Linked DNA regions of Drosophila melanogaster. The protein of the gene in region 2 purifies or fractionates together with the protein of the main gene of each other region. This does not show direct contact. Each region holds a gene or a part of one and is shown on either strand. Other genes may lie near its edges.

What was found. The genes of interacting proteins can lie anywhere in the genome.
Region 1: the proteins of Grip128 (region 2) and gammaTub23C purify together in Drosophila melanogaster (affinity purification with western blotting; 3 studies listed by BioGRID, with this or other methods). This does not show direct contact.

The regions. Positions count from the first base shown.
Region 1 is NT_033779.5:2,971,268-2,975,387, reverse strand, and holds gammaTub23C (gamma-Tubulin at 23C), read right to left. Parts: upstream 2,498-4,120; 5' UTR 2,330-2,497; coding exon 2,281-2,329; intron 2,223-2,280; coding exon 2,020-2,222; intron 1,960-2,019; coding exon 784-1,959; 3' UTR 530-783; downstream 1-529. Other genes in the region: CG9641 (uncharacterized protein), read left to right, coding at 1-210; Rrp1 (recombination repair protein 1), read left to right, coding at 3,091-4,120. UniProt on the Drosophila melanogaster protein: Tubulin is the major constituent of microtubules. The gamma chain is found at microtubule organizing centers (MTOC) such as the spindle poles or the centrosome, suggesting that it is involved in the minus-end nucleation of microtubule assembly.
Region 2 is NC_004354.4:15,467,760-15,473,862, forward strand, and holds Grip128 (Grip128), read right to left. Parts: upstream 4,361-6,103; 5' UTR 4,281-4,360; coding exon 4,161-4,280; intron 4,106-4,160; coding exon 3,617-4,105; intron 3,508-3,616; coding exon 2,890-3,507; intron 2,830-2,889; coding exon 2,330-2,829; intron 2,263-2,329; coding exon 755-2,262; intron 691-754; coding exon 647-690; 3' UTR 522-646; downstream 1-521. Other genes in the region: CG15641 (uncharacterized protein), read left to right, coding at 147-515; Alg14 (ALG14, UDP-N-acetylglucosaminyltransferase subunit), read left to right, coding at 4,484-5,059; mh (maternal haploid), read right to left, coding at 5,135-6,103.

The sequences.
Region 1 (4,120 bases), on a different chromosome or scaffold from region 2:
GAGAATGAGATGACTGAAGATCATGATGAGGTGGAAGAGGCAGCTGAAGAGCAACACGATGATGTGGAGTTCATTGAAGAGGAGCCGGGCGAGAAGAGCAATGATGTAGAGGTCACTCCTGAAGCGGAGGGCGAGGAGTGCGAAGAGCCTCATCAGGAGGAAGAGAATTGCAACGCTGAGGTGGTTAATGAAGACACATGCTCCTTGTAAGCAAGCCGATGGGTAACGGGATTCATGGTAACGAAAAACTTCCTTGATTTATAAAATGTGCTTTATATATCTAACTCTTTTCTTCTTCAATACAATAGGAACATTTTAAACTGAATAACACACCCTAAACATATTTGACATACGAAATGACATGACAACGGAACAAGGACAGCAGTATCGTGCAGCTTCACAAGTGAATTCTCACTGCAATATCAGTTCATACTGCCTCAAGTCGACATTAACCATAAGGATTTCATATTATAAAATACACCAAAGAAATATGTAATATACTTCTCAATAAACACTCACTACCACATTTAAAAACTGTTTTTTATTTAATGTGTCACATATTAAACATGATCGGGAAATCTCATGTGTAATTTTGCAACAATGGAAATACGAACGTTAAATATCGTAAAAGACGAAACAGCGTTTACATACATGCGAGTCATACCAACAATCGTCTTATCACTACTACTTAAGGATTTCGAATCCCATCGTCATTGGAGAATATTACATTTTAAAATACATTGGTTAAGATGCATGGCACGCATTTCTTCTGGCACAAGCGAACTAGGAACCGGCGCTGGTCACAGATCGACTATCCTCCGACTTGGAGTCAACTGGCCCATTTCCCCGCTTCACTGAAAACTGCATGTAGTCCTCACGCGTGGCTGCCTCATACTCTTGCACCAGGCAGTCAACAGTTTCGCGAGATTCGTCCAGCTCATTGAGGTCGTCCTTGAAGATGTCCTCGCGTCGAAACTGGTCAAGAAAGGCGCCGCGCTTGCGAAGCTTGTCATACTGGTTGAGAGCTCGCTCGAAAAGCGAGCAAATGCTGGTGTGGTTGGCCAGCATCAGTCCGGACACTCGATGGTTGCTCTGCACGTAGGGCGATGAGCGGGAAAGGGCTACCTGGATAGAGGTGGGGCCCCAGGGAATGAACTGGGCCATCTTGCGGTCGCGGATGCGCTGCAGTGACTTGTGCACTTGAGTGGGATCCACCTCGCCCTGGATAATGTTTAGAATGGAGATGTAGCAGTGATGATTTGACTTGTCGGGACCAGTGGACACCATCATGTTCTTGGGCTGCAACAGACGCCGCATTACATCTAGAACAGTAGTCTTTCGCACATTAACCAGCTGCTGGGTATGGATATCCGAATCGCTAGTCAGCGGCGTGTAGCCTGTCATGAGAAAATGCAGCTGGGGCGTCGGGATTAAAGGAGCCGTCAGCCCAATGAGATTGTTGTTCATGTAGGATGGATACCTCAGCGTAGTGGTGCTGACGCTCATTATGGTGGAGACCAGGTTGTTGATCTGCGAAAAGCTGGGATTCTGAATGTGCAAGCGATCGCAGGCAATACGATTAAGAGCAGTGTTGTCCAGGACAACCACACTGTCCGCAGCCGTAGTCAAACGTTTCAGGGTGAGCATGGAGTTGTATGGCTGCACCACTACATCACTGATCTCGTCCTGATTGGGAAACACACTGAATGTTTGGATAAGTTTCTTGGGATAGCGGTCCGCCAGGCGCTCCATGATAAAGGAGCCCATTCCCGATCCCGTTCCGCCAGCAATCGAATGGCAAAGTATAAAGCCCTCCAACGAATCGCTTCCATCTGCCTCACGGTCAATGATGTCGAATACCTCTTCTTGCAGCTTTTCGCCCTGGCTATAGCCTGAGGCCCAGTTGTTGCCCGCACCGCCTCCGTGCTTGGATAGGTACACATTTTCCGGATTGTAGAGCTACGGGAGTTAATAGTAGGTTTGGCGCAAAAAATTAAAAGTTATTTAGAGAGGACTCACCTTGGAGTAGACCGAGCCCATTATGGTATTGATCACCCTCGGTTCCAAGTCCAAGAGCACCGCGCGGGGTATGTAGTGGTCGTCGTCCGCCTGGTAGAAGAACACATCCTTGCGGTCCAAGCCATCATTGGCAAAGTCCTCCAGCACGCCGCTAGGGGAGATGCCATGCTCCAGGCACAATCTTTTCCAGAACTCAAAGCCAACTGCGTTTAAACGATTTTAGCAATGCAGATGGTACTCGTCCTGATTTCAGAAACCTACTTTGATTGCCGCACTGCCCAAGCTGCAAAGTAATTATTTCACTTGGCATTGTGGTGTGTTGTTTCCGGCCAGAATCGTCAAGTGAAGTTTCGCGTTTAAGGTCGAATTAGTCGAAATAAAATAAAACACAACTAAAAGATCGTCGAATTATAACAAAATTTTTAAAAAATCCCACAGCGGGGACGTACTTTGTAATTTTAAGAAAGTCCAGTGTTGATAACACCGCAGCGTTTAATGGCGTCCTCATTTGAAAGGTGGCGCAGTGTGCCCTCTGTTATAAAATATATATGATTACTTAAGACCTTTATTGTGAATTAAATAAATAAAAATAAACATTACATTTTTCTACTTTGTATTTTGGAAAGGCAAAAAAGTGTTGGAAATCTAAGACTATGAGTTAGAAAGATCGAAACATGTCATGAATATCAATCTAATAGTTCAATACTAAGCTTAACTTGAATATAATTTTCTATAAGAAAGTTTTTCAATTAGGTTATTGAGCTCCACCCATTTTGTACTACTAATGACGTCGAACTATTTGTACTACTAGTGACGTCACAATGTGCAATATTTGCTCCACAGTCGTGTTTTTCCAAGGAAGGCACACAAATAGTGTTGTAAGCAGACCAAAGTCAAGCCGACCGGCTTGCAAAAATCGCGTTGCCCGCGCAGTTTTCTTTTTGTTGATATCGGGTGCTGAACCAAGCGACAGTGGCTCTGCAAAACAAGCAAAAGAAAAAGCTGGAAATCTGTGGAAGTAAATACAAGTCATTTTTGAGAACCTATCAGTCCGAGCAGTAGAACTCCATAATGCCGCGTGTCAAGGCCGTGAAAAAACAAGCAGAGGCGTTGGCATCTGAACCCACTGACCCCACTCCAAATGCCAATGGGAATGGAGTCGACGAAAACGCAGACTCTGCCGCTGAGGAACTCAAGGTGCCGGCAAAAGGAAAGCCGCGCGCGAGGAAAGCCACCAAGACGGCTGTATCTGCGGAAAACTCCGAGGAAGTCGAGCCACAAAAGGCGCCCACTGCAGCCGCGCGTGGCAAGAAGAAGCAGCCGAAGGATACAGACGAAAACGGCCAGATGGAGGTGGTGGCCAAGCCGAAGGGACGCGCCAAGAAGGCAACTGCAGAAGCAGAACCAGAACCCAAAGTCGATCTACCAGCTGGAAAGGCAACTAAGCCACGTGCCAAAAAAGAGCCCACTCCTGCTCCTGACGAAGTGACGTCTTCACCGCCTAAGGGACGCGCTAAGGCTGAGAAACCAACGAATGCCCAGGCCAAAGGACGGAAGCGAAAGGAGCTGCCGGCAGAAGCAAATGGAGGGGCCGAGGAAGCAGCAGAGCCGCCGAAACAACGGGCAAGAAAGGAAGCAGTACCAACGTTAAAGGAGCAAGCTGAACCAGGGACAATAAGCAAAGAGAAGGTGCAGAAAGCTGAGACAGCTGCCAAGCGGGCACGCGGAACCAAGCGTTTGGCAGATTCTGAGATCGCAGCTGCTCTCGATGAGCCGGAAGTGGATGAGGTGCCGCCAAAGGCTGCTAGCAAGCGAGCAAAGAAGGGAAAGATGGTTGAGCCATCGCCCGAGACTGTAGGAGATTTTCAATCAGTACAAGAAGAAGTGGAATCGCCTCCAAAAACTGCAGCTGCACCCAAGAAACGCGCCAAGAAAACAACCAATGGTGAGACTGCGGTAGAACTTGAGCCAAAGACCAAGGCAAAGCCCACTAAACAGCGCGCTAAGAAGGAAGGCAAGGAGCCAGCACCCGGGAAGAAGCAGAAGAAATCCGCCGATAAGGAAAACGGTGTAGTTGAAGAAGAAGCCAAGCCCTCTACTG
Region 2 (6,103 bases):
AAATATGTATTAGCCTAACATTGAGGTGCTGCAGATTGAAGATTGAAGGAAGGCGGAACACATTAGCGCCACGCCAACCATGAGAAACCAGCTAAACGGGCGAAGCGAAACGAATAGAGCGGCGAGGCGGCAGAGATCAACGGACTATGCGACGGCAAGGAGTGCATTGCTGCTGTCTGGTGGCCATCGCCCTGGCCATGGCCATACGCCAGGTGTCCATGGGCATCAGCGCCAGCGATCGCCGCTTCCAGTGCCTGCAGACGCGACTGATAGGCCAGGCCAACTGCTCGCCATGCGCCGATCTGTACGTCTTCAATCGCCAATCCGCCTACCGGCGCTGCGAGCACGTCAACGGTAATTGCTACCCACATCGCACGGTCTTCGCCAGCGCCCGCATGTGCGAGCTCACCTGCCAGCCGTACATCCGGCGACCCACGCTGCACGAGGTGACCACCCTGCCGCCGCCACCACCGATCGTCGAGCCCTTCGGCGACAGCGATGAGGAGTTCGAGTGAGGTTTTGTCAACAAAGATAAGCTGCTTTTAATTCAGTTGGTATGGGAATGTTTGGTCGGGATTATAGGTAGTGGTGCAGGTGATGGTAATGCGTAATGTTTAACAAGATCCTTTGTGGAGGAGATTCGATTCTAATGGGGCACACTGGAGTTGATGGTCTCCTCCAAGGCAGACACTGCAAGACGAAGTGAAAAAGAGTAAGTTCAAATGTCCAAATTTCGGGACCAACAATCACTTACGGAATCCGTGATCGTTCTGGTGCACCAGCGTGTTAAGGATGTCGGCCAGCATCTGGTGGCAACGTATGTACGTTAACTCGATCTCCGCCACCTGGTTGAGCGCCAGGTACTCCAAGCTACGACGTTGCGTTTCGCTGTCATCAATGCCGTCATCCGAAATGGTGACGTCCAAGCATAGGGCATCGTGGTCGTGCATGCAGCTGGCGCAGGTGGTCCACTCCATGTCCAGCACGTAGACCAGATGAAAGATCTGGTCGAGGGCGACGCGGAATGCCTTAAATTCGTCGGTCAGCATACAGTGTGTCTTCAGCCACGCCAGGTGCTCGTCGTGCATGATACGCAACTCGCGGACATTCTTGCACTCGCCAATCCTGAGCTCGAACTGCCGGCTCACGGCCTCCATAATGTGCGCGTGCAGGTTGTTGATGAGGAAAATTAACCAGAAGCGCACAATCTCCAGGCGACGAATGGTCAGACCGATCAAATCCAGTGGTGCGCAGGGATTGAACCTAGCGCGACGCAAAAACTGCATATTCTCCAGCTTCCAGACGGCCCACTTCACCTTCAGCATCAGACGCCACACCGAATTGTAGTCTTGCATGTGCGCGGGTGTGAGAATGTACCACTGGTGCATGGCCATTGGCCGCTCGAAGTCCAGTTCAATAGCCTCCAGGGCCTCATAGACCTTGATTGAATTCGAGTTTATCTGGGATATTAACTTGACATGAAGATAATGAGCCAATTGCGGATAATGCGGAAGGAGCACAGCGCATAGCTTAGAAGTGAGCACCGAACCCAGTGCCCAGCTATTGTTTTTCTCCATGCGCACGAAGAGTGCGTTGTAGTATGGCACAAATAGGTAGTATTTCTCCAGCAGCATCGTATGCCGCAGGAATCGCATCTTCTCGGCCACCTGCGTTTCCTTGCAGTACGCTCGAATCGCGTACTCGTTCGCCAGCCACTGTCTCCTTCGCAGTATTTCGCGCAGTGCCTCCGGCAACTCAGACTTCAGCTGCAGACATGTGGAGCGCTCCAAGCGCTTCAAAATGTTGGCCATTAGAACGGGGTTGCTTTTAAGCCGCTCACGTTGTCGCTCCAAACGTTGTTCCACCAACGGCTGGGTAAATATGGCGAAAAGTTCATGGTTCCTAATGCCCTGCCTATTGCACACAGTCAGATCTTCGTAGTCTTTGTCCGGCTCCGGCTCATCCTCGTAATCCGTGTTGTCCGCACCACAGTAAACCTTTAGCTGCGCAAAGAACTGCGTGAACAGCTCATCGTGCAGCGACGGCAGTTGGATTTCATTGTTGCTGGTCAGCATTTCGCTCAGCGTATTTACACTACATAGCAAATCTTGCGTTTCGCCAGACTCCAAGGCATGCTCCAGCAGTAGCTGGTAGAGTGGGCAGGATTGCAGCTTGTTGAAGATCTCCACGAGTAGCAAATCATCCTCCATTCCCATATTTCGTTTGCGCACGTGGCTACGTGTGTTCGCATCTTCCTCGTAACTATTAAAAACAATGTAGTTATGACTTCAGCTGGCCAGAGTGATGTGTGAGCACCATTTTGGCTTACCAAAACTCCACGATGAACTCGCGAAGGTGATCTTCCAGCGCGGCCCTGCGCCACCAGCCGTCGATGATGATACAATATCGCTTGAGAGATATAAACAGCAGGGCAGTGGCCAGCTTCTGGTGCGGCACCTGCAGCAAGGTGTGCTTATACAGTCTGGATAGCAAGTAGGCACTGCGTATGTGCGCAGGTCCCTTATCCAGGATGACATCTTCGGCCAGCTCTCGCAGTAAGCGCAGCTGGCTAAAATGTTCCCTGAACTCAATCGTAAAACGGATCAGTGTATTTTTCGCTGGATCCTTATTGACACGATCCTCGTAAGCGATGAGGAGCTGGCAAATGGGCTGGACAAGATCTCTCAGGCCGTATGCAAAGAACTCCACGGTGTATGTTGTCTTTACGCCATGAAAATGCAACGTATGAGTATCGATGATGTGACGCAGTTCCATCATGTCCTCCAGCGCAGGCACCACATCAAATAACAGAAAATTTTGCATTGTGCTCTACAAAAAAAAAAGCCGGACTAAAGATAGAGTTACACATTAACGATTCGACTTTCTTACCGCAGTCACCGTACAAATACTGACATTGTCACGCACAGTAATGCGTCGCGTGGCCTTGTCGAATTCAAAGAAACAACAGCTCGCTGGACGCACAAACATGAAGAGGATCTCCCTTAGCAGACAGGGCTCCGTGATGGTTTTCGGCACTGGCAGGGCCAACAAGCCTCGGGCATTGTGATTCAGAAACTGCACGTAGCTGACGGCAAAGTTGTCCAGTGGCTTAGCACTGGAGGGCAGGGCGTTTAAATGGACATCTTGGCACCACCAGTGGGAATGGATTTTACGGAAGAGCGTATCTGTGTTGCCACTTTGCCAATATTGGGTGAATGGTCGGGGCGGTTGGGGTGGCGGCAACTGGAGCAGCTTGCTTCGTCTCAGATGGCTGCCCTTTAAGTTGTTGAGGCTTAGAACAGTTGGTTTCATTATCCGAAAGTCGTAACTCCGGATCACGCTCTGCTCGGGCGGCATATACGTTTTGTTAACACTTCCAGTCGGAACGACTGCCATCATGGCCTGCTCGTACACCCTGGCCATTTCCAAGAGGCTTCGCGAGACGCCAATATTTTCATCGGGCTTCAGAGTAGTTGTCGAGTCGCAGTCCGACTCCTCCGACCAGTCCTTTTGGAAAGAAGGTAAAGGTATTAGTATGCTGCAAATGATTTTATGGAAAGAACAGGCTACATATGTGTAGCAGATGACATATGTTTGGGGTTCTCTAGATGCTCACACTTAAGCTGTCCGAGCTGTCATCCTCTGGCGGATCCAGAAAATCCTCGGACAGCAGCGCTGCCCAGTCCACCTCCGTTTCGGAGGTATTCTTGGCTGCCTCCAGTTTCGCCTGTTCCTCTATCTGTGCCTGTCGCTCGGCTTCCTCCATGCTATTAATTATGGACAGACGGCGCTGTTCCATGAACTCGCGGTTCAGCCGGATCTTTTGCACCGGCCTATCGGCTATGCGAAACAGCAATTCGAGCATTTGCCATCCGGGGTTAGGATTGAATTGCTGTTGATTTTCGTCCATAGCCAAATACCTGATGGCCAAGTCCTTGATGCTCTCACCAAAAGACGCCATGCCCTCCGCCCGAAAACGCTCTGCCAGATCGTCCAGGTTGCGTTTCACCTCCATGTCCGTCGTTGTAGGAGCCCATGTCCTGCGTTGGTTGGCGATTATCTTCAATGCCGTATCCTCCATCTGGCGCAACTTTTTCTGGCTCGTCTGCGTTTTAAGTTGGTTAAATTGGAATAGGGATAACATCTGTTTTAAAACATACCCCCGGTTCCGACAGGCTCCTGACCAGTTTTCGCACGTTCTCGTTTATGGCGGAGTTGACTGCCGTCGAGGTCTTGCCGGAGCGCTTCCGTAGGTTACCCTTCTGGGCGGGAGGAGCCATTTCGCTCCGCTTTCTGATTGAGATCCAATAAATTCTATAAATGGCGCCCTCAGCAATGACAACAACGTAAATGGTACACCGGCATAATTATCGGTTCAGTTATCGATAGCAATGGAAACAGCTGTTCGTGGATGATCGACAATCGACTTGAAACGTAAACAATTGTAAATGTTGTCATTTAAATTGAGTTTTCGAAGGGCAATATGACGACCAGCTCGCCTCACCCCACCTACGTAATACTGGGCTCTGGCGGCCACACGGCGGAGATGTGCCGGCTGACCCAGGCGCTGCTGCAACAGACAGACATCGAACAGACGGAGAAGTACCAGCCAATTAGACTGATCCTGGCCAACAGTGACTCTACCTCCGAGCGCCAGTTCAGGCAGGTCCTGCCGCAGGCTGCCCAGAGGGCGGAATTCGTGAAGGTGCCGCGCAGCCGCGACGTGGGCCAATCCTGGCTAAGCAGCATCTTCACCAGCCTGTGGGCGCTTCTCTGGAGCTGCTATCTGGTCTGGCGTGATCGCCCCCAACTGATCCTCTGCAATGGACCCGGCACCTGTGTGCCCTTCTGCTATGCCGCCTATCTGTGGCGCCTCCTCGGACGCCTGCCCTCGCACTCCAGAATAGTGTTCGTGGAGAGCTTCTGCCGCGTGGAGACGCTGTCGCTGAGCGGACGCCTGCTCCTTCCGCTGGCGGACCTCTTTGTGGTCCACTGGCCGGCGTTGGCCACGCGCTATTTGGATAAAAAGAATGTGCGATATTTTGGGCGAATCCTGTAACATGTTTTTAATAACATTAAAGTTAACATTAGTTTCTATTTAACGAATTATGTTTTGTATGAGATGTTTTTTGTCCTAGCGCTTCTTGCGACCAGCGCAGACGGATCCATGGACCTTCAGGTGTAGAGGCATGATCTCCAGGCCACATCTGGGGCAGCCTACGGTCTCTTTGAAGAGGTTGCGCTGGCGGCGCTGACGCGGAGTAAGTTCGTCCTCGCTAGACGGCAGAGTAGACGAGTCGGTAGAGGAGCTCAGGTTGAGCTTGTCGATCTCCCCTTCTGTGTAACCGGAGCTGCGAAGAATTCCTTTTGATGACTTTGCTTTCGATTTAGCGCGGCGTGATGTGGAAGCTCCCGACGAGTCCTTTGAGGTTAAGGAAGCAGTTGTTCGGCGGTTTTTAGGCTTAAACGATGGCGGTTCCAAGCGCACCATAATGGCGCAGCCATCGAAGTGATTGGACAACTCAGTGCGCCTCATTTTCTCAAAGCAAATGGGACAAGATACGATGTCGTTCTCAATTCTTTTGGCGTAGCTTGAGCAACTGGGCTGCACGTCGTTCTCACGCTGGAACTCCTTCAGCAGGGTGTCCTCTCCAAAAATATCATCTATAATGGATTGGTCAGCTAGCTCCGTGGCGGCTGTTAAAGATTCATTTGCGGCCACCTCATCGTCGTATTCATCATCAATTAAGAGGATATCGTCCTCACACAAGGTCAACTCATCCTCCATTACCTGGCGCTTGATGATCTGCGTGCGCTCCTGACTGGTCATGGTTTTTCTGCCAGCTGGCATCTTCATCTCCTCTTCATCACTAGAGCTTTCGACCAAGTTGACGATGGGCGTATGAACATCCCTGACCATTACGTCATCATCGTAGGACTCCCAGTTGATTATCTCGCTGTCGCTGGAAACACGACGCCTCTTTTTCTTATTCTGTCGCTTGTTGGAAGCATCTTCGCTAAAACGCTGAAGTCGAATTTGACGAAGTTTAGCGGAATCGGGAACATCAGTGTCACTAAGATCTATGTGTTCTATAGCGCTAGA